Linked DNA regions of Lepisosteus oculatus. The protein of the gene in region 1 purifies or fractionates together with the protein of each later gene. This does not show direct contact. Links are inferred from orthologs where the notes say so. Each region holds a gene or a part of one and is shown in the gene's direction. Other genes may lie near its edges. The genes, in order: srfb, mrtfa and myocd.

Region 1 (6,994 bases):
CAGATACTAGGTGGCCTGTGATTTATACGGTACAGAGCGCCGGTTATATGAAGTGGTATATGCTCTCCCTCAGTTTGTGGGTTTCCTCCAGGTGCTCCGGTTTCCTCCCATAGTCCAAAAACCTACCAAAAGGTTCACTGGCATCTGGAGAAACTGGCCCTGGTGTGAGTGAGTGTGTGTTTGTGTCCTGTGTGCCTGTCCAGAGTTTGTCCAGCCTTGTGCCCACTCCTTGCCAGCGTAGGCCCAGGCTGCCTTGTGACTCTGTGTTGGATGAAGCAATGTTGGTTAGCAAACAGATGGATTATATGAAGCATCTTGAGCCTTTTAATGTTTGTCAAATGAACGGAGGGTTTTTCTCCCTCTATAACTTGACCTCTAGCATCACTTCCTTTCCTGGATTTTAACCGGATTGGGTAGGTGAACGGGTGTGCAAGACAAGAAGACGAGTTTACAGGCCAACCGCAGAGGAGCAGCAGACTCTTGGAGCCGGAGGGGCGACAGATATTTAAAGCTCCCTGAAACCATGTTGCTGAAGAGTAAAGGTTTTCCAGGCAAAGCAAGCTTCAAAGAAGCTCCGACATCACCGAAACCACAATCCTTTCGGCTGAAGAAAACTGCTCAACACCAAACACACTTCCCTATCAGCTGCAGAAATACCCAGCTATTGATGTTAACGCTGAAAACCTCTCAGCGCATTCTTGGCTGATCGTATCATGTAGTCCACAAATTTTAAAGAGCAGGGTTCTGCACGACAATAAATTACGATCAGGAACCAGCGCTTCCTGAAAGGCGAAAAGCAGCTCAAATCACAGTAGCCTCACAGTTTAGACCTCTGTGAGACACTAGAACTCTGGGCTGTGTGGCAGGCCTGACCGTTTAGTGAACCTATTTTTTTTCAGCGCGTCCAGCACTGCGCAGATGGTTCCCGTGTGCTTTATCATCTTGCGGCGGCAGCAGAGCCAAGACTTCCAATCCACTGATCTACAAAGGATCATTACCACAGAAACAATGTACCCTCACCCAGACGCCAATCTGTTCCAAACCTGAGTTTATAGAAAAACTAGTCATGGATGACTCACCTACAGTAACCCTTGATCATGCTAAAGCTTTTGTGAAATGCTTCTCCTTGACATGCAAATTGGGCTTATTTTTATCCCACTCTGTCCTGTCGTGTTCTGATTTCAAGGGTTCTTCACTGTCCCTGCTCCTGCTCTGTCTTTAACCGGTATCCTCTCCTTCCCTGGGCTCATGGCGTCAGTGGTGGTGTCTCGCAGGGCCGGGCAGCCTCCACGCTCCTGTCAGAGCTTGAGATGGAAAACTCCGGGCCCAGACCCCTCCAGCTGCGCCCCGCAGCTGCCTGGTGTCCCAGCTGACAGGAGAAGATCTGGATGAAGACGTTCACTGGAAGTATCCCAAGCAGCAGGCCTGTGTGTTGTGGGGTCTCTGTGTGCGGGGGGCAGGGGGGACTTGCACCGGCTGAGGAGGTATCCAGATGTTATGTCTCCACACACCCCTCTCTCTGGCCTCTCGGAGAGCCAGACTCTTCCTTCTGTCTTACACAGGGCATGGCTGTCCTCCCCCCCCCCAGGAGAAGCACAAACCGCACTGCAGACGATGGAGGAAGGAGGAAGGGTGACCAGACGTGTGCAGGGGGCCGGAGAAGTGCTGCTCTTCTCCGGAGCTGGGAGTCCTGCAGGTCTCCTGACTCGGGACAGGTACTGCTTCCCCTTGGACAGAACTACACTGCCAGACCCGTCCAGCATTGTGTTTGTTTGTTTTTACAACATTAAACAGATGATTCATTTTTAAAAGGAAAGTTAAGAAGAAAAAAAAACTTGAAACTCGTACCCGAGTGTCAAAACACTAACGGGCTTAAAAGTTTCATTTCTTTCACACTGGAGGAGGCACAGACAAGGACACACAGTTACTTCAATTTCAGGTACAGCAAGCCCAGGAAAGGCCCTGCCTGCTATCATACAGACACGCCGACACTGCCACGGCAGTTAAAACCCACAAGCCCAGCTCTCTCAACAGGGGCGCCTCATAATTGCCAAGAACGACGAGCCCTGCCGATCATGCCTCTTCAGGGCTGGTTAAATGGGTAAGACTGCCTTCCCGTTATCTAGGCTTGCATATTTGAGCAAGGCCTAATCTAATTTAATGCAGCATCCAGTTAAACAGTTTCCATAGCAACCAAGCCACCCTGGCAAGAGTTGGTGATACAGTGAAGTGAGAAGACTGTGGAGTGCCTGACAGGTTTGTTCTAAGGTGTCTGCACCCACTGGCCCTCGCTAATTAGGAACATCGGCAAACGCACAGAGCTGTGTTTTTTTTAGTCCCGTTCAGTTTTAAACGCAGTGCTCAAACCCCCTAAACAGTTCGGCCACATAATGCTTAACAGCTACAGTTTCACCGCCAGGGTGTTGAGAACTAACGAGGGACGCGACGAACCTGAGATAAAACTTCGTGACTGATCTAATATTTAAACACGCAGTCGGACATGAAGGTATGAGCATCACCCATCTCCAATAGTGTCATTCACTACTTTGTTAGGAGCAGTAAATCCGACCTGTTAAATGATACTTATTTAAAAATGATTACTTATACTTCTCCTGAACACCCATTCAATCCAGCAAGTTGCAAATGTACTAATTGCGCATTTAATTGCAGACACAGGGCGTGGTCACGTATTTCTTCTTACTTCCCTGTAGAGTCTTTTAATTGCACGAGGGGCACTTTGAAAAGACAAAGCAATCCCTCCTTGTTTTTCTATGCCATCAGGAAAAGTTCATCTGTGTGTTGAATCTGTGTATCTCTGCCGGATACTACTGCTTTTCATTTGGAGGTAGATTATTTTTTGGAATCTGTGAAATCTTTCAACTTGCATTAATGTTAATATATCAAAGTTATGTGTTCTTTCTGGATTATAAACGTTATGTACGGCTTTGAAGAAAATACTCTTGAAGTGCATTACTCTTATAGCTAGTATATATCACGTCCATAGTGACATAAAATCCCAAACGAATAGTTTTGCTCTGTCATTTTCTAAAATATTCCTAGATATTCAAAGGTTTTTCTAAGAGGTATCCTAGAGGTCTTACACTGATCTGTTTGTTGATACTCTCTGAATGCACGATGTATTCGAAAAAACATTGTATGTACTACAGAATATCCAGCATGTGTTGGAAAACCCTGTGCCTGGAAATAAGAAGAAGATGTGGAATAAGAAATGGATGTGTTAGAGCACAAACAGGGGTCATGATATCAGGATCGGGGCGAAGACAATTGATGAGTGGACGGGGTCAGACACAGCAAGATGAACAGGTCATTGCTGAACCAATGTTGGACCAGGTAACTAGTGATCCATTTCCATGTGACCTAAAGTGACCAAGACCTTCCGTAAAGTGACAAAAGGAGACCAATAATTATGACGGGGCAAGCTATACCACCACAACAGCTTAGTTTGTAGAAGATCTTACGTGAAGCCCTTATCCATGTGTATATCGGCAAGGGATTATGGTTTATTTGTACAGTACAACAGTGAACAAATTAAATACAGCAGTGAATAAATTACAGTTCATAAAACCTTGTTTGATAAGGCCCCTGCAGTAGAAAAGAAAGAAACTCAAGCCGTTGGCACTGTGATATGTGAAAGCCCCTAACTGTACAGCAGCTAACTCGGGACTTTAACTCCGTGCCTGTCTCTTTAAACTCGACCACCAGCCTTCCTCCCGTCGCTGACGTCAGGGGGATGAGCGCAACCATCTTGGTATTTATTCTAATGACCGGGCGCCTGGCGTCCAATGGCGGCGCAGGTTCGGGCGGCTGCGGCCAATGGCGGCGCGGCGCTGTGACTCACCAAATAAGGAGAGCCGCCACCATAAAAGGAAACGTTGTATCTCTTTATATGGAGGAAAGTAGATCGCTACCTATGGTATCCGTCCACGGGGAGCGAGTTGAAATAAGCGAATTTAGCCGGTTCCCCCTCGGCGCCGGCGCCGTCTGAAAGCGAGTTAGGTGATCCGGAGGACGGGTAGGAGCGTCGGCTGCCATCCCGGGCGCGCTGGCGGGCTCCCCGGCGGTGTTTTAATGTGGGGACTACGTGACATGGCGGAGTGATGCGTAGGGCGTGATCCGCGTTTTCCTTTTGGAGAAAGTGCAGCGAGTTTTGGAAATAGAGGAGGTTGAGCTTGACTGAGCCGGGGGTGAGGGGTCTTATGGGGGGCAGCATCACTTCTGAAACTTAACTTCTCCCGTTATAAGGGGACGTCGGAGCCTTTCTGACTTTCCGGACCGCTGTTTTCTTTTTTTTTCTTCTCCTCCTCTCCCTCCCTTCCCCCGTTGACCACCTCGCTGGCCGGTGTATGTGCTTTGCTGTAACAAGACGAGCACGCACGGGCCCCAGCGAGCGGCTGGCTTTCTTTAAAGACACCCCCGGGGGCAGCAGAGTATAATGTTACCGAGCCAGGCTGGGTCGGCACCAGCTGGAAACGGGTCGTCTGCGGGCCGGGGCAACACGGGTCACAGCTCGGGGGCGGCCGGGAGCGCGCTGCGCCCGGGTCTGGGCAGGACGGGGTTAATCGGAGTGGCGGCCGGGGTCAGCGGCAACGGCGGCGGGGTGGGACGGTCGGGGGACGGGGCAGGGATGCTGGGGGGCAACGGGGCAGGGGGAGGCTCCCGAGGAGGGTCCCGGCCGGGCAACGGGGCAGGGCTGGCCGGGCTGCAGGGGACTGGAGTAGGGGGCATCGGGGGAGTGACGCCCGCCGTCGGGATGCACGGGGCCGGGAGGTACGAGCCCGAGCGGGACAGCACGCCTCAGGTGTACAGCGGCTCGGACGCCGACTCGGACTCCGGGGATGACGACGACCCCCTGGGTCCGGCCGGGGACGGCAGGAGAGGGGTGAAGCGGGAGCGGGCGGAGATGGAAGCCGCCGGCGCCGGGCAGGAGACCGGCGTGCCGCCGGGGGCATACGGCGGGGTGTCCGCCGGGGTGGCCGGCGCGAAGCCGGGGAAGAAGACCAGGGGGCGAGTCAAGATCAAAATGGAGTTTATCGACAACAAGCTGAGGCGGTACACAACTTTCAGCAAGCGGAAGACGGGCATCATGAAGAAGGTGAGTAACGAGATTGCCCTGCCAAGTTCGCGGCCGGTGGAGGTGTCGGGGGAAGTTTTTTTTTTTTAACGAGTCCCGTCCTCTATCCCCCCACTCCCCCCCGATGCGAGGCCTCGCACTGTCCCCCCCCCGGGGCTGGAGAAGTTAACGGTTGGCGTATAAGTTGCTTTAAGCGACGATGCAGCGGCGGGCGACCCCGCGGCTTGAGAGCGGGGCGAGTCGAGAGATGGAGCCGGAACGCCGCCGCCGCAGCAGGGAGAGCGTCTGGTCCGGTGAACAAGTTCGTAAAACCTGGGAAAGGATGAGCTGCCCAGCGAGCACACCGTCGGAAACGGCACACCGGGTTGTCGAAGTCGTCGTCGTCGTCGTCTGCTCCCAAGACCAGTTCTGTCAGCGCCCGGGCTCCGTCCGGCGTCATGTGTCGGTCGTGAGAAACTTCGCCAGTCCGTGTTTCAGCCCGTGTGTAGCCGCGGAGCCTGTTCTGTTGTGTCTGAGCTGTAAGAAGTGTACTTCACTTTTTTTTTTTACTTTCCGACTTTACCGCTTTCCCGGCCCTCTGGAAATCTGCAGACCTACCCTGCTGAGATATCTGTTGTGTTTTTGTTTTTCGCTTTCCAGAGAGACCACGCTCGTCCGCGCACACACACAGAAACATGGAGCAAGGGGGGGAGTTGTGGGCCTATCGGCAACAGCAGAAAATATCCCCAGAATCGGAGAGTGTCTCCACCTGAATTATTTTTATCCGTGTGCCGGGGGGTGGACGGTTGTCTTTTTCTCTCCGCCTCTGCCCAGTGAGAAATCAGAGCGCGGATTACACAACGCGGCCCGCCGTCTGGGGAGCCGCTCTCGCACTGCCGAGGTGTTTCTCGGGGGGGTGTCTCCTCCAGGGGGTTCGGGGGTGAGCCCGTCTCCCTGAGGGGGTACCGACGGAGAGCGGGGGAGTAGGCGGCGGCGGCGGGGGGGGGGATGGAGAGACGAAGAGGAGAGCTGCCGCAGCGCGCGAGGCCGGGAGGTGGGGGGGGGGAAGCGAAACTGACACGGGCTCGCGCTGGAGTAGCCGCGAGGCTCCCGGCGGTGTTTACTAGTGACCGGGGGGGGGGGGGCGCCGCGCACGTGCGGACCTCCAGTCAGGGGAGAGAGCGCCCCCCCCCCTCCTTCGCCGTAGGTGGAAACTACAGCGGACACGGTGGGCTCAGAACAAGAGGCAGGCGCTTTAAATAGAAAAGAGCAACTGGCAACCCCTGTGCCCACCCTCCCCTCCCTGTGGCCTGTGCCGGTGTTGGTGTCGGTAGTACCGAGCTGCTGGTCGGGTGTGTGCGCGACCCCAAGGGCTGCCTGGCCAGAGGCTGGCGAAGCTAGAGCATCGGGGAAGTGTGTTTCCGTCACGGAAGGTAGCGGACAGGTGGCATGGGCTGCGGTCTCGGTCCTTGTTCTCTGTGCTCTGGACCCGTTCCCACTATCGACAATGATCCCAGCTCCACAGCCTGCAACGGAGCTCTTTTCTGAAATGCGGTGTAATTATCTGTTAACAGTCGCTTTCCTGCGTGGTGTTTCTTCACCCTACGTCCCCTCAGCAGTTTGAAGAACATCTTGCCCGAGGGCCCGTGTGAGAGCACGGCGTGGCCCCTGTCCTGTCCGCACGCAGCTCCTCCGGCTCCGATTGATCCGAGGGCCCGGCAGCACTCCCACGGCCCGGCCTTGGTCTGAGACGGGAGTCCCTCCGGCCCTCTGGTTCTGCTGCACTTCCACATAGTCCTTCAGGGAAGAGCATTTCAATCTCAGACCAGCAGGCACTACGAGCTGATTCCCAAGAGACACTTTGCTGATGTTTAATTACATGTTGATTAATTCAATGTCACTATTGCCACCTGCCTTGACATA
Region 2 (7,095 bases), on another chromosome or scaffold:
GTCACACTGGCACACTGTTTGACTGGCACAGAGACCTGCTGCCTGACTGTCACACTGGCACACTGTCTGACTGGCACAGAGACTCGCTGCTTGACTGTCACACTGGCACACTGTCTGACTGGCACAGAGACTCGCTGCTTGACTGTCACACTGGCACACTGTCTGACTGGCACAGAGACTCGCTGCTTGAGTGTCACACTGGCACACTGCCTGACTGGGACAGAGACTCGCTGCTTGACTGTCACACTGGCACACTGCCTGACTGGGACAGAGACTCGCTGCTTGACTGGCACACTGGCACACTGCCTGACTGGGACAGAGACCTGCTGCCTGACTGTCACACTGGCACACTGCCTGACTGGCACAGAGACTCGCTGCTTGACTGTCACACTGGCACACTGTCTGACTGGCACAGAGACCTGCTGCCTGACTGTCACACTGGCACACTGCCTGACTGGGACAGAGACCTGCTGCCTGACTGTCACACTGGCACACTGTCTGACTGGCACAGAGACTCGCTGCTTGACTGTCACACTGGCACACTGTCTGACTGGCACAGAGACTCGCTGCCTGACTGTCACACTGGCACACTGTCTGACTGGCACAGAGACTTGCTGCCTGACTGTCACACTGGCACACTGTCTGACTGGCACAGAGACCTGCTGCCTGACTGTCACACTGCCTGACTGGTACGCTACCTGTCACATTGTCTGGCGCACTGCCTGACTGGCGGACTGATGCACTGCCTCGCTGGCACACGGACTCACTGGGTCAGAGCCTGGCGCTCGGGCGCTGACGGGGGCACTGCCCGCGGACGGTTGTGACTGACCACTGGCCGCCCCTGTCCCTGCTGCTGCAGCTGCTCTCCCTGGAGGTGTTCGTGATCGGCGCCGTGGCCAAGGCTGTGGCCACCACCGTGACCTACCCGCTGCAGACGGTGCAGTCCATCCTGCGGGTGAGTGACCGCGCGGCCGGCCTGTCCTCTCTCCTGTCCCCCCCCCCAGTCTCTCACTCTCTCCCTGCTCCTGTCTCAGTTCGGGCAGCACGCCCAGCCGCAGGGGCGCCGGCTACTGGGAGGTCTGCGCAGCATCGTCCACCTGCTGAGCCAGAGAGTCAGGTGAGTCGGCCGGGGGAGTGACCGCACTGCAGGGGGGCAGGGCAGGGGGAGTGACCGCACTGCAGGGGGGCGGGGCAAGGGGAGTGACCGCACTGCAGGGGGGGGGCAAGGGGAGTGGCCACACTGCAGGGGGGCGGGGCAGGGAGAGTGACCGCACTGCAGGGGGGCGGGGCAGGGAGAGTGACCGCACTGCAGGGGGGCGGGGCAAGGGGAGTGACCGCACTGCAGGGGGGCGGGGCAAGGGGAGTGACCGCACTGCATGGGGGCGGGGCAAGGGGAGTGACCGCACTGCAGGGGGCGGGGCAAGGGGAGAGTGACCGCACTGCAGGGGGCTGGGTGGGGGGAGTGACCGCACTGCAGGGGGGCAGAGAGAGTGACCACACTGGGGTGGCGTCAGCCTGGAAGAGTGAGCGACCACCCCACAGTCATTTCCCCTTCCTGCCCCGGCAGCAGCAGCACACTCCTTGCATGCCCGGCCTCAGTGTGTAAGATAACACGGCAGCCATCTTGGACCAAACACCCTGAGACACAGCTGGACACTGGAGCGCCGCCCCTCTCTCTCTCTCTCTCCCGCGCAGGAAGCAGGGCATCCTGGGACTGTTCAAGGGGCTGGAGGCCAAGCTGCTGCAGACGGTCCTGACCGCTGCCCTCATGTTCCTGCTCTACGAGAAGATCGCCGCCACCACCTTCAGGGCCATGGGCTTGCGGAGGACCGTGCCCGGCCGCTGACGCCCAGACGCGACGCCGGGGGGGATCCTGGGAAGACAGGGGGGCAGGTGGCGGGCTCTGATTGGTGGAGAGCAGCTCCGCCCCAGGCGGTGGCGGATGGCGCGAGGACGGTGATGTCTGGTGTCTGGACTGGGTGGGGGTTAACGTCTTTCTGCCTCCCACACCCTCCCCTACGGGAGCTGACTCGGGGGGGAGGTGGTGCTCGAACTGCTCGCTCGCTTGTTCCCCCAAAATGAACGGCGCCCCCCAACGTCCCAATAAAAGGGGTGCCGGTCCGGCGCTTCGGACCTGACGCCCGACTCGCGTGCTCTTCCTGTCCCCTTGCTGCTGTGCCGCTGGGCGGCGGGAGGCTGGGGAGCACGCTCCTGTCCCAGCGGGAGCCGGAGGGGGGCGCATCTTCGCCCTGGACCGAGAGCTGGGGAGGAGGGAGGGTCGCTCAGGCAACCTGGAGGGGGCGCTGTCCCTGCCCCCTGCCCCCCGCCAGCCCACCTCGGGGGTGGAACTGCACAGCCCCGCGCTCCAGGTGGGCGCGGAGGCGGAGGCCGGCGGTTCAGCCCGCGCCTGCAGGTCCATCGGGATCCACTGGGATCGGCTTCGACAGCGCGGCCCGGGGGGGGGCTCGGTTCCGAGACGTCGGGTCGCTGCGTCCGGCTTCAGAGATGATTCTGGCCGTTCCGCCGGTGCCAAGTGGGTCGCTCAGCCGCGGCGGGGTCAGACCGGCGGTGCTCAGCGAGGACCGGGCTTTCCCAGGACACCCTGCCGTTTCCGGGCGTGAAGGCGCTCGAAGCGTCTCTCCGGGCCGTGCAGTTCCGCCTTCCTGCCGCTAGGCGGAGCCCTCTGCCCGCAGTCGGTGTCCAGCTCGGAAGCTCCTGCCTGTATTGTCCCAGATGGGGGAATTTGCTTTGCAGGAAGGTGAAACCTGGCTTTTAATAGACAGTACAAAATAATCTGAATGAATTAACGAATAAAAAAAAAAAGAAACCATGCATTCAATGGAAAACAAACCAGCAGCTTTAAATTATTAGACGAAGTTTGCATGATGAAAAAAGAAAATATCGGTTGTCCAGATTAAGTTGGCTAATAGTCCAGGGAATAAAGGATATCTTAGTTTTATGGCACTTGAATGTGGGTGTTGTGGTTGAAGTGGACACTCAGACGGTGGGTGATTATATTGGCTTGTTTGGGGTAGATGTCTGCCTGCCCCGTACCCCGGTACCCTGGGTCAGAAACATTTCCACCCCGCTGTCGCCGTTCTCTCCCTGCCTTGCATGTGTACATTTTATTTTGTGATCCATTACAAACGGATCTTGGGTTCGAATCCAGCCCTGTCTGGGTGGAGCCTGCACGTTCTCCCCGCCGTTCGCCCCTAAAGGTAAATAATGCCACTGCACCCTGAAGTGCGGTCACACGTCGTGTCCGACAAGGTTACTGTTGTATTACAATCTGCAGCAGGTGCGGCTGACCGGGCTAGTGAACGGGATGTCTGGAATAAACGGTGAGATGACCGATACCTGTGCTGTGATTTTCCTCTGCCTCCTCTCTTAGCTCTCTGCCCTTTACAGCTCCTCCCCTCTCTGAAGACGAGGGAAGCACAGCCAAATACAGATGGGTTATCGAAACATATATAAAATAAATACACACGATATGTAAACATACCATCTGAGTGACTATGCAGATTCTGCATACAACACGTGCAGCTATAAGCACGTTTTTCACATATTTGAAGCTGACGATAAAAATATACAGTACATTTGGGTACTTTCTCAACAGCTGAACTGCAACATTGGCGATGACGCCTGTCTGCTTCCTTCCAATAACTCGGGAGTGGACCGAGCGAGGCGTCTCCACACCTCTGCTGTCTCACGCCCGCTGCCAAAAGTTGGAATCAAAACCTCCTCGCTTCCCATTGGTCGGCACCGTAGCGAACCCGTTGCCGCAGCGCCAGCTGATTGGTGCAAAGGCCAGGCTCCCGAAATGGTCCTGCGCTCTGATTGGACGGCGCCAGGCGTCGGTCACAGGAAAAACTAAAGAAAAAAAAGTTGGTCGCGGGGGCGCAGGCGAAGGAGCGGGATTGGCCCGTCGGCGACGTCAGTCGACCCGGTTTCTGCCCGCTGATTGGATGACCTCGGCTGCGGAGGCGGGGGGGGGGGGTGGACGGGAAGGGGGAGGGATTTCCGGTCTAAGTTCAACATTGTAAATCGGAAGCTAGTTTTGATAGTGGGTAGGGGTGGGGGGTGAGACAACCCTAGACGAAAATACTGCTTTATAAACATTAATTCTCTGAACAGCTGGGCACCCAGAATAAGGCAACTTTCGGTAACACTATCCCGCCGGCTGGAAGCCCGTGGTCTGTGACATGTCTGTGTTTTGAACTGGAGCTGGAACATACTGCCTCAGTCTTATCTGGCGGAGGTGACTGTGAGAAAAACCTGCCTTTTTCATTTTTTATTTTTTTTTTCCAACGCCGCCTCGCTGTCGAGAAATGGGCCGCAGGGAGAGGTGCCTGCGCGCTGCCCGCCAGGTGAGTCCGTGTCACCGCCGTGGGGGCGCCTGGTCCGTGTTGCAGTCATCCTGAGTGGGGCGACGCGTGGGGAGGAGAGGGGGGCGGCTGGTCAGTGTCGCGACAGGCGCGGCGGGGCCATCCGGCCCCCCCCTCCTCCCCACTCTCACCTCCACCTCCACGGCCGCGACAGCGAGCCCAGCCGGTCCGCTCCGGGGCGTGGAGTCCGCAGTGCGGTGCCGGAGGGCGCAGGGCGCTGCTGGCGGCGGTGTCCCCGGACAGCTGTCGTGTCTCCCCCCCCCCTAGCGCCAGGTGACGGGGCAGGGCTCGGGGCCGCGGGGACCATGTGCTGGTCCGCCCGTCTCCCGGGAGTGCAGCGCTGTGGAGCGCCGACTGGAGCTCCGGGGTGGTTCAGGAGGAATTTGGGAGCCCCCCCCCCCCACAACCCCCCTGTGAGCCTGGGCAGTACCTGGAGTGGAGACTCCTGGGATCAACTGAGGCTGCTGCTGGGAGAGGTGTGAGTGGGGCCAGCAGGGGGCGCTCACCCTGCGGTCTGTGTGGGTCCTGATGTCCCAGTATAGTGACGGGGACACTACACTGTAAAAAAAAATAAAAAAAAATGGTGCTGTCCTTCGGATGAGACGTAAAACCGAGGACCTGACTCTCTGTGGTCGTTAAAAATCCCAGGGTGTAGAGGTGTAACCCCAGTGTCCTGGCCAAATCTCCCCCTGGCCTTTACCCCTCATGGCCTCCTAATAACCCCCCTCTCTGAACTGGCTCCATCACTCTGCTCTCCTGTGAGGAATTATTAGCGGGAGGTGTGTCACAGGGAATGGTGTCCCCCCTGCACACTTCCTGCCGGGGGGACAGGTCAGCGCGTGCGGCCGGGAGGGGCCCGAGCCGTGCGCACTGGCCGATGGGATGCAGGAACTGCGTGCGGAATCGCTGGGAGAGGGGCGATCTCTGCTGTTGAGGGGGATTTTTTTTTTTCCGGCTGAAAGCCACCAGCGGTTTCCTCCGTCGGACCCGGACGGGTGCTGCTGCAAAGGGGAGATGGAAAACGCAGATATTTCTGCGAGCGAGGTGCTGTTCAGATAAGGATGTGGGCGTTCCAGCAAACTAGGTCAACCCTGGTATCTAGGGTTTGGCTGCAGTCCCTAATTAATCAGCCTGCAGCTAATAGTTTTTGCTTTTTATAAGTTTTGGGTGTGTGCTGTCGTCCCTGGCGAGAGATCCTAGGAGATATTTCGGAGAAGAGGGCAGGGACCCACTTTCTTCTGTGGTTGATCCCAAGGTGTCATCCAGCCTTGTCCTGAGGGGATCCCAGGGAATCTTTCTGTTGCATGGCTGGGTAGTTTGCTCCGGACCCCCACTGCTCTTGGTGTAAAGAAAACTACCTCCTGTTTCCAGTCCTGAATATTCTCCTTTTTGTGCCAAAGGGTTGAGGCGGAGGTCTTTGATACTGAATACCTGTAGGTTTCCCTGTTTGAGGTTCAGAAGATTCTTTCAGGATCCAGGAATCGTAGATCTGCGTGTTGGGATTCTGTGACCAGCTGACCTGCCGGAAGAATTCCTTCAGCTGCAGGAACTCTTGTATAAAACTGGTTCTGGAGCAGGCATGATAAATAAAACCTGCACGGGATTCTCGATGTGGGTTTAACCGGAATCTTGCACAACTGTGACATGACAGCTCTTGACTTGGGTTGTTTCCACTTTCCACAGCATCGTGTCGGCCTGGTTTCACACTTCCCACAGTGTGGGAATAAGGGAATTAACGAGACATTAACACCTTCGTGCAACTCGTGGTCTCACATGCACACGAACACGCACAGTCGGGGGGTGCTGATCCTGTAAATCCTAATCCCTGTGTTTCTCTTCCCCCCCCTGCAGTGAGCAGCGGTCCTGCTGAAATGGAAATACCCAGATTCCCCGCACACAGGAAGTAAAGCAGGTATCGCCCTCCTCCTCCTCCTCCTCCTCTGTCTGCTTCTCTTCTCCTCTTCCTCTTACTGCACCTGGTTTGTTCTCTTCCCCCTCGCTCTTGTTCCTCTTTGCCTGCCCGATATTCTCCGGGGGGGTGAAAGTGGTGTGTACCGGGCCGGAGGGGGGAGGGTCAGACGTTTGCATTCCGATGGAGCCGGGATGGGAATATAGTGTCCGGAAGATTGAACCGTTGTGTCCAACAGGGCTCTGTTAGACACCACCATCGTGTTGAATTAGAGGGATCTGCAGTGTCCAGCAGGGCTGTGGTCACCATCGGGTTGAACCACACTGGACTGCAGTGTCCGAGGGGCCTGTGGTCAGCATCGTGTTGAACCACACTGGACTGCAGTGTCCGAGGGGCCTGTGGTCAGCATCGTGTTGAACCACGCTGGACTGCAGTGTCCGAGGGGCCTGTGGTCAGCATCGTGTTGAACCACGCTGGACTGCAGTGTCCGAGGGGCCTGTGGTCAGCATCGTGTTGAACCACGCTGGACTGCGGTGTCCGAGGGGCCTGTGGTTAGCATCGTGTTGAACCACGCTGGACTGCGGTGTCCGAGGGGCCTGTGGTTAGCATCGTGTTGAACCACGCTGGACTGCGGTGTCCGAGGGGCCTGTGGTCAGCATCGTGTTGAACCACGCTGGACTGCGATGTCCGAGGGGCCTGTGGTCAGCATCGTGTTGAACCACGCTGGACTGCGATGTCCGAGGGGCCTGTGGTCAGCATCGTGTTGAACCACGCTGGACTGCGGTGTCCGAGGGGCCTGTG
Region 3 (7,625 bases), on another chromosome or scaffold:
CTCAAAGCCATGCATTCCACAGTCTGTGTCAGAATCAAAAATAGGCACTTTAAAATAGTTTTAGCTGTTTGCTCACAAAAATGTAAGAGCATGAGCAGTGTTAGACTCATAGTGCTACAAGCCATCTTGTAACAACAATCGCATTAAGGCTTTCACTACCAAATGACCAAATGAGTGATTTCTTTCCTTTACAGTAGGTATTTCCAATACATTCCTTTTATATTTACATACTGTGTAAAACTCAAGTGCGCACAAACCACTCAAGTTAATGAACAAATTCCACATTTCAAAAACAGTGGCATGGATTTCATACTTCATACTTCACTTACATTTCCTGAGATATTGGCCTGGCCTGCTCTTTTATCTCAAGTATGTCAAGATCAATAGTATAATTGTGTAGTTCCATTTCTAACAACAGTTTTCAACTCCAGTGCTTCTTAAAATTTCAAGCAATTTTTTTACCATTGAATATCTTGAAATTAAACATTTTCATTGAAAACTGTAAATAATTGCTTCTGAATACTATTGTTTTCTACTAAAAGATAAACTAGTGAATTGACATACAATTAGCCATAACATCAATTAGCTTTAAAAAATTGTCTATTTGCTTGAATAAATCTTATTTTTACTTTAAAAAAAGTTTTCATGTAAAAAAGTCTGCTATAATTGAGTATTTAGAGGAAATCACAAGTTTAAAAGCAAAAGTTACAAAAATTGTGAACATCACCACAACTTCTTCTGTGCACTATAGTCCTTTATGTCATATGATGTTAAAATACATCAACATTTGTTTTGCATTATTTTTTAGAATAATATTACGTTGTAATTTTGGCCCATAACCTTTAATTCAAGTCTTCAAAGGGGATGTCGGTAAAAATTAGAATGGTTGCCACTCTCGAATTGATTTTGAGAAGTATGTTGCAGTACAATTGGCTATGCTTGTTAAAGTAATATTCTCTAGCAGCAAAACCAATATCTCACTGAGAAAACACATTTAAAGCCATGACATCTGCTGAATATATAGATCATGTAAAGTATAACATGACCTTGCCTACCTTACCATGAGATACTGTAGCAATCGGTTTGCTAACAAATTTCGGAATACTGTACAGCAGCACTAGTGTGATGGAATATACTGTATACTTGATGTAAGCAGATTAAACTTCATTGTTTTCCAAGGCCATGGCAGATTTGGGGTACTCTGGTCGCTCTTTGCATCTTTGATTTTCGCCTAACCAGGGGAAGTGTATTCTTTAATATAGCATTATGCTTGGTTTAGTACTGGCTTGAACAAGCAGACATCCCTCCTGGAGAATTTGGGTATAGTAACAGATGTTAAGGTTCTTTGCAGTGTTATACACACTGTTTGCCAGGAATGGAATGCCTTGCCACAGAACTGGTTTCCTGATTCCACCATACAAAGTCTAACCACATTTGTGTCTTGCTTAAGACAAAGAGCAGCCCCTCAAAGTTTTAAGCCTCCACATATGATTAAATGCAATGTATGATTCCAGAATGAAGAGTTGTTCTTTATATATGTGACTATTTATTTGCTTACTGTATGTCAAATGAGTATTTGCCATACATGTCCTGTTCCTCCAAACCAGGTTCATTCTCAGTGTTGAACTTTTTATTTTACTAACAAACTCTGTAGGATAGGTTTTAAAGATAAAAAGGTTTTATCTTTACCAGATTGCCAGGCATGGCCTCTTAAAATCTGAATATTTTCAGGCTGAAATCTGCAGTAATTTCACTTCATTTTGTTGGGGCCATTATTCCCATAATCAAGGCATTGTGTGCTGCACCTGTCTTTGAAAGAATATGGGTTTTCATTCATTGCTTTTTATGAAAATTAATGTAAATACAGCCAACAATTAAACACTTGCCTAGTTTTCTGTGCTATGTTAGTTTAATAAGCTCACTTTGACAACATAACTTTTTTTTGTTATTGCAAGGATAATATTCCTTCCAAGAATTTGAATATTTTCAATCAGGCTACCCAGATACTGTACTGCATGTTTTTGGAACAAAAAAATTGTATGTCTTTTTCAGGAGGGTAAAAGTCTCATTGTTTTACGTTTCTTAAACTTGTCAAGTGAACTGCACTCTTGCCAAGTCTATGAACTTCATCTTAAAGCAAGAAAGTTCATGTTTTAAGGTCATGTATTGAGAGAGAAGCTTTTACTTTTACTAATGCAAAGAAGAAATGACCCTGGCACATCATCCTAGATAGACAAAGGGTAAAGAAATGAATCAGAATCACTTTCACCTACTTAATTTCTTACAACCTTTATAAAAAACATGTGTTAGAATGTCAAAACCATTTGCTTATTCCTTTTCAGGTACCACTTGATCCAGTTTCATGTATTAGTATCATTAACACAAATATAATGACACTAATAATAATGATGAGCCAATTTCATATTTTAAAAATACATTACAAGCATAATCTTAGAGTGATACAGTGGTAAAAAAAAGAAAATTAATTGCATAAGGATGACATGGGAGTATTTGATAATACTGCAAACTATGTTCAGTCTGGATAAAGATTGATATCTGCTTTGGCTTTCATTGCCATAAAGGAAAGAATTCAATAACAAAATAAGCTCCTGGCTAGCATGTGCAAAATAGCAGAATAAAATGCATAATACTCTTCCAATAAAAACACAAATAAAATTTGAGGTGTTCTATTTTTGTCTACTGGTAATTTTATTTCTTCAGTGAAACCAACACAAACTTTGCTAGATTTAGACAATAAGACCATGTAAGCAAGGAATTTGTCTTAATATCTGTTAGAAAGTGATACTGCAAAGAACTGCAATATGCCATTAATTTATTTTCTTAACTAATTAAGTGTGTTGTATTTGTTTTACACACCTGTGGCAATAGACTATTCTGAAATTTGTTTACTTTGACAAAAGAAGACATATTCATAAATCGCTTACATCCTGGATAATAAAAAAGCATACTCTACAGAATGGGGCAAATGTAACAATTTTAATGGTATTATACTGTAATATGCATTTAGATATTATAGCAAGATGTTTGTTGTGTAGACTGTATGTAGACTGATTCAGATAATGCTGTACTTCTGTAACATATACTGTACTTAGCCAATTATATTAATGCATAAAGACAATGTAATTAGAACTGTAGGTATTGTAGGTATAAATATTACCCCAGGAACATATTCTGCTTTGATAACTGAATTTATTTATTAACTTAATTTCTTTTGGGGATGTATATCACTTTATATTAATTCTTCTACATGTTAAAATACCTGTTTCTATTACAAATGCATGTTTTAAATAGTGTATTACACTTCCCAGACCTTCTTTTCTGATTTTAATAGCTATTGTAAAAGGAGAGGGTAAGTAACAATGCAGTTAAATAGCAAACAGATGTCTTCAAACATTAAAAACGTAGAAAGTACATCTAATAAGAATTCCAGAGCTATGATGAAGTTAAGAAAACCAGCTTTAATGTGTTATTGAATCTAACTTTATTTTGCATCATTATTGCTTAATATCCTTTCAGACCCTGCTTTATCAGTCAAACTGCTCATTTGTTAGCAGCTCTTATAAAGTTATTTAATAATGCTTACATGGCATTTGAGTACTTTCATTATACCCACTTTGATACCTCTGATTAAACCAAATTCAGACACATACATTAACCTCTATAATCCTCATTTCGCCAGTGTATTAATCTGATGATGAGACCTCTGACAGACTACAGTTTCTGCGAGCAGGTGCACGCTTGTTTCTTGCCACCTGTGATACTGTAGTTTTGAATGACAGAATGAATTATGAAGGACCATGCTTCACCCCGCAACTATCTGCTATTGTCTTTACCAAATGCACAAGTAATGTCAGGAAGTCCTTCATTAAACTATTAATTTAAATTCAATACCCGTTTTCAGTAGGGCTTAGAGTGAAATGCATGTGTCTCGATTTCCGCAGCAAATTCCCTGGAAATTATAAAATGTAACATTGACACTACATCAAAATTAGATTTTTCTCTTTCCGGGGCATTAATTCAGCACAACTCTGTTATGAAATGTAATGTAATGGAAGATTTATGCAGAATAACTTTAAGAGCAAAACGTAAGTAGTCTAATGTAAAACATTATAGTAGCATGATGAAGTCTGATGAAGTGCATATGGTCTCTCATACCAGTAATCACTCTCATTTCATTCTTAAACTTTATCATATGGAGCTGTCTTGGAAATTAGCTCTGCCTTAAAAAAGCATTATACTGTAGATTTCCTAATACGGACACTATCGCCACTGAACTGAAGGGACATCAAAACATATCGGTAACTCATAGAGTTAGTGCATAGAAATAAGATTTGGACTTTGAAGAAATCTAGCTGACGCTATGTCAGAGATGTCATAAGGATTTCACTTCAAACAATATGTCAGACTGCGTAAATCTCGGTTTCAAATACTCCCACGGCATCCATGTAAACCTAGAAACAGTAGCATTGAATATTTCCCGAAGTCTGGCTGCTCCCGTGAATTGGATTCGGCTGTTTCCGTAAGCCGACAGCACAGGGCTCTTATAACTCGGCTCTTAAGGCACGGCAAGTTTACAGACTTGGAGAACCGTAATGAAGCAGTCTGTTAAATTCATAGGCTTCTTCGCTTCATCCCCAGCAGCTTCAGTACATTTCATCAGAGAGAAATAACACCCTGCGCCACAGCTACTTACAGGTATTTTATTACATTCTGTTCTTGGCTTCCAAAAACGCAACGTTAATTGAAGGAACTTGGCCAAAGGTTTATCGAAACAACGTACAATTCTAAGCTAATACTACCTGCTGTGCAGTGTATGCTAGCTCTCCACAAGAGGGGTCAATGCTCTTCATCTGTCTTCTAGTGTTTCTTTTCTGTTTTAATTAATCCAATTAAAAAACACTTCTTTAAAAACAACGTGGAAGTAATCAAAGCTTGCATGCACGAGTCGTTTCTCAAACAATTAGTATTAGGAGAAATGTGTTTGTGATTCAGCATGAATAGTTTTAATGTCTTTTTCCATCTACAGCATTTGCTAGTGATTTTTTAATCCTTAAAATAAAAGTGGGGACCCCAGCTTTACACTGCAATCTTTCATTTGTGTAATCATTTTATATAATTAGAATAATTTGTATTCTTATGTAGTTTTACAGTGGTCATAACAAGTATGGTAAAAATAGAATCCTATAAAGGATGATAGTAATTAAGCAAACTCAATACAATGTTTTAGATATAAAAAGAAGTTGACAAAACTAGTATAAGGTGAAACACTCCAGTCAATGGATTCTTCTGCTTTAAGTCAGTAATGATGGTATTTTATTTTTATATTTTTTAGTTTTTCTACATTAAAAGAAGCTTAAATTGGCTTGGAAGGACTGCAGTGAACAAGCCAAGTTGTACATGTTGTGATACTTTAACATTCAGGCCGTGCTGAAAGAAGTTATGACTTCTAGACTACAACAAGCTTGTACTATCAAAACCCATCTTTCAGAGCAGTTTGCTACACTGCATTGCAAAGTTTTCTCCACTTTTTCCTTCCCTAAACATAACTTGTGCAAAATTCCCAAAGTATTCTTAAGCAATATATATCATACTATTGTAAATACAAAACAATTAACAATAAACAATAGTTCTATACAAACATCTTGAATACTTACAAATTATGCAATATTATGGTTATCACAACCTTACACTGGTTAACAATAACAAATACAATATAACATTAATCACTGTGGTATACCATGATTCAGATGAATCATGTACTGTTTATAACAGGCACAATAGTGTGAAAATTACCATGGTATGTTTTTGCAAGGACCCTTGAATGTTTTAAAGTTAAGTTAGTTGACAAGATTAGTCAAGATTTAGAGGCTGTGCAAGGAAATGATACCATGATTGCTCAGGTCAAACATGACTTGGAAGAAGGATTTGAAAGAATCCTTAGCAAATGGAGTTTCTGTCCATCATTGCTCAGGAAACATAAAATAAAGGCAAGAGAAGCTAGCAAGGTTCTCCTTGTAATTCATCTAGACAACAGTGTTTTTACATTCCAATAATTCTGCTTTGCTGAATATTAAGCTGTTCTTAAAAGGCTATTTTTATGAACAAGGCAGTCAAATGTGTGTTAAGGAATGTGTTTTAACATAGAACAGTTATTTGCGTGTGTTGGGGGAGATTTTTTTGTCATTCATTATATTGAAATTAAACACCATGCATAAATGCAAACTGTATGGACAAACTTTCTTTTTGTTAAAAACAACTTAGTGTGGAAGGTTTGTTTTCCTTATATAAAAAATTCATTTTGAGAATCATCTGGAGTCTTCACATCTTTTCTACAAGCAAAATCAATTTTGAACTTATTAATTGAACAAAGTGGATGCAGTTATTGTAGTAAATAGATCAACACTGTGAAGTCGCCACAAGGAGCATTGAAATTTGTAGGAACTAACAAGTATGTTTTTATAGGAAGGTCCTCAGCTGATTTTAATTTAATTTCTCCTACCAATTTCCAGATCAATCTCCAAGATTTATAAGAAAACAGCTGTATTTCATGGTGTGACCAATCTCACTTTACAGATCTGCCCAAGCAGGAATGTACCTGCTCACAAAAGAGAATTCTGTGCCCACTGGCAATGCTTTTTTTTTTAAAGTCTAGCCTATGTGACTCAAGATGTCATTAATTTACTTGAATTACAGTATGTATTTGGATGATAACCTCCAATCCAAACAAAAAATACCTAAAAGAAATACAGACCTTTTTTGCTATGTGTTGTTGCAGGCCAAAGTAGTGGTTGTTTCTTCCTGGGTGTTTCCGTGGGTCTACACATTCTGCAATGTGCATGATGTATAAAAAAGTATTACAAATACCTATCCTTCTTATAATAGAGGGAGGTGTCTTTTGTGGCCTAGCAGGCTGCACTGAGGTGACCAACTTTTGAGAATTACCTACTGTATGACAGAGATGTTTTGGAGCATCCAATTAATATACAGTGACCTAATATATTTGAAACTGAATTTCAATATGGTGTGCTTTGTTTTTGCTTTGTTGTTTGCTTATTTCTGCTTTATTTTTGACCAAATTACATATTATATTTTGTAAAAACCTCTATTTGTGTGCAGAGTTTTAGCATATAAAACAGCCTTTTTCACTGATTTACTTTGTTTGTAAAGTGTCACAGCCACAAACTTTGGAATAATTATATCCACATTTCTATATCAATACCCATAATCATTATCTAAATACTGTAAGGTAGATCTGATTTAGTGATAATTATGGTTCGTGAAACCATTCCTACATATTTTGCATATTTAAGTAATTTAATCCACTAGATTCCCAAGATTTCTGCAGCCTGTAGTTACATAATTGAACCCTAATTTCAACTCATTTTAAATGTTCAGTTTTCAAGTTATTCCTTTAGCAGTTTTACAAATAGAGGTTAATGTAGGGTGACTAAACTGGGATGACTTTTGCTTATACTGGGGTGGCTTAAGCTCCCTCACACTTTTTGGAAGATCTGTCACTGGGTGACGGGTATTGAGGACTAGAATAGAATTGAGACGTACTATACTGGGATGTCTTGCTTTAATGAAGAAGTACAGTATTAAAA

What was found.
Region 2: the proteins of srfb (region 1) and mrtfa purify together in Homo sapiens (affinity purification with western blotting; 4 studies listed by BioGRID and IntAct, with this or other methods). This does not show direct contact. The link is inferred for Lepisosteus oculatus from reciprocal best matches to the Homo sapiens genes SRF and MRTFA.
Region 3: the proteins of srfb (region 1) and myocd purify together in Homo sapiens (affinity purification with western blotting; 3 studies listed by BioGRID and IntAct, with this or other methods). This does not show direct contact. The link is inferred for Lepisosteus oculatus from reciprocal best matches to the Homo sapiens genes SRF and MYOCD.

The regions. Positions count from the first base shown.
Region 1 is NC_090712.1:6,301,429-6,308,422, forward strand, and holds the start of srfb (serum response factor b), read left to right. Parts: upstream 1-3,900; 5' UTR 3,901-4,453; coding exon 4,454-5,113; intron 5,114-6,994. UniProt on the Homo sapiens protein: SRF is a transcription factor that binds to the serum response element (SRE), a short sequence of dyad symmetry located 300 bp to the 5' of the site of transcription initiation of some genes (such as FOS).
Region 2 is NC_090707.1:37,901,671-37,908,765, forward strand, and holds the start of mrtfa (myocardin-related transcription factor A), read left to right. Parts: upstream 1-4,037; 5' UTR 4,038-4,367; intron 4,368-6,236; 5' UTR 6,237-6,297; intron 6,298-7,095. Other genes in the region: slc25a17 (peroxisomal membrane protein PMP34), read left to right, coding at 860-955, 1,035-1,117, 1,696-1,846. UniProt on the Homo sapiens protein: Transcription coactivator that associates with the serum response factor (SRF) transcription factor to control expression of genes regulating the cytoskeleton during development, morphogenesis and cell migration.
Region 3 is NC_090704.1:37,590,213-37,597,837, reverse strand, and holds the start of myocd (myocardin), read left to right. Parts: upstream 1-4,609; 5' UTR 4,610-4,716; intron 4,717-7,625. UniProt on the Homo sapiens protein: Smooth muscle cells (SM) and cardiac muscle cells-specific transcriptional factor which uses the canonical single or multiple CArG boxes DNA sequence. Acts as a cofactor of serum response factor (SRF) with the potential to modulate SRF-target genes.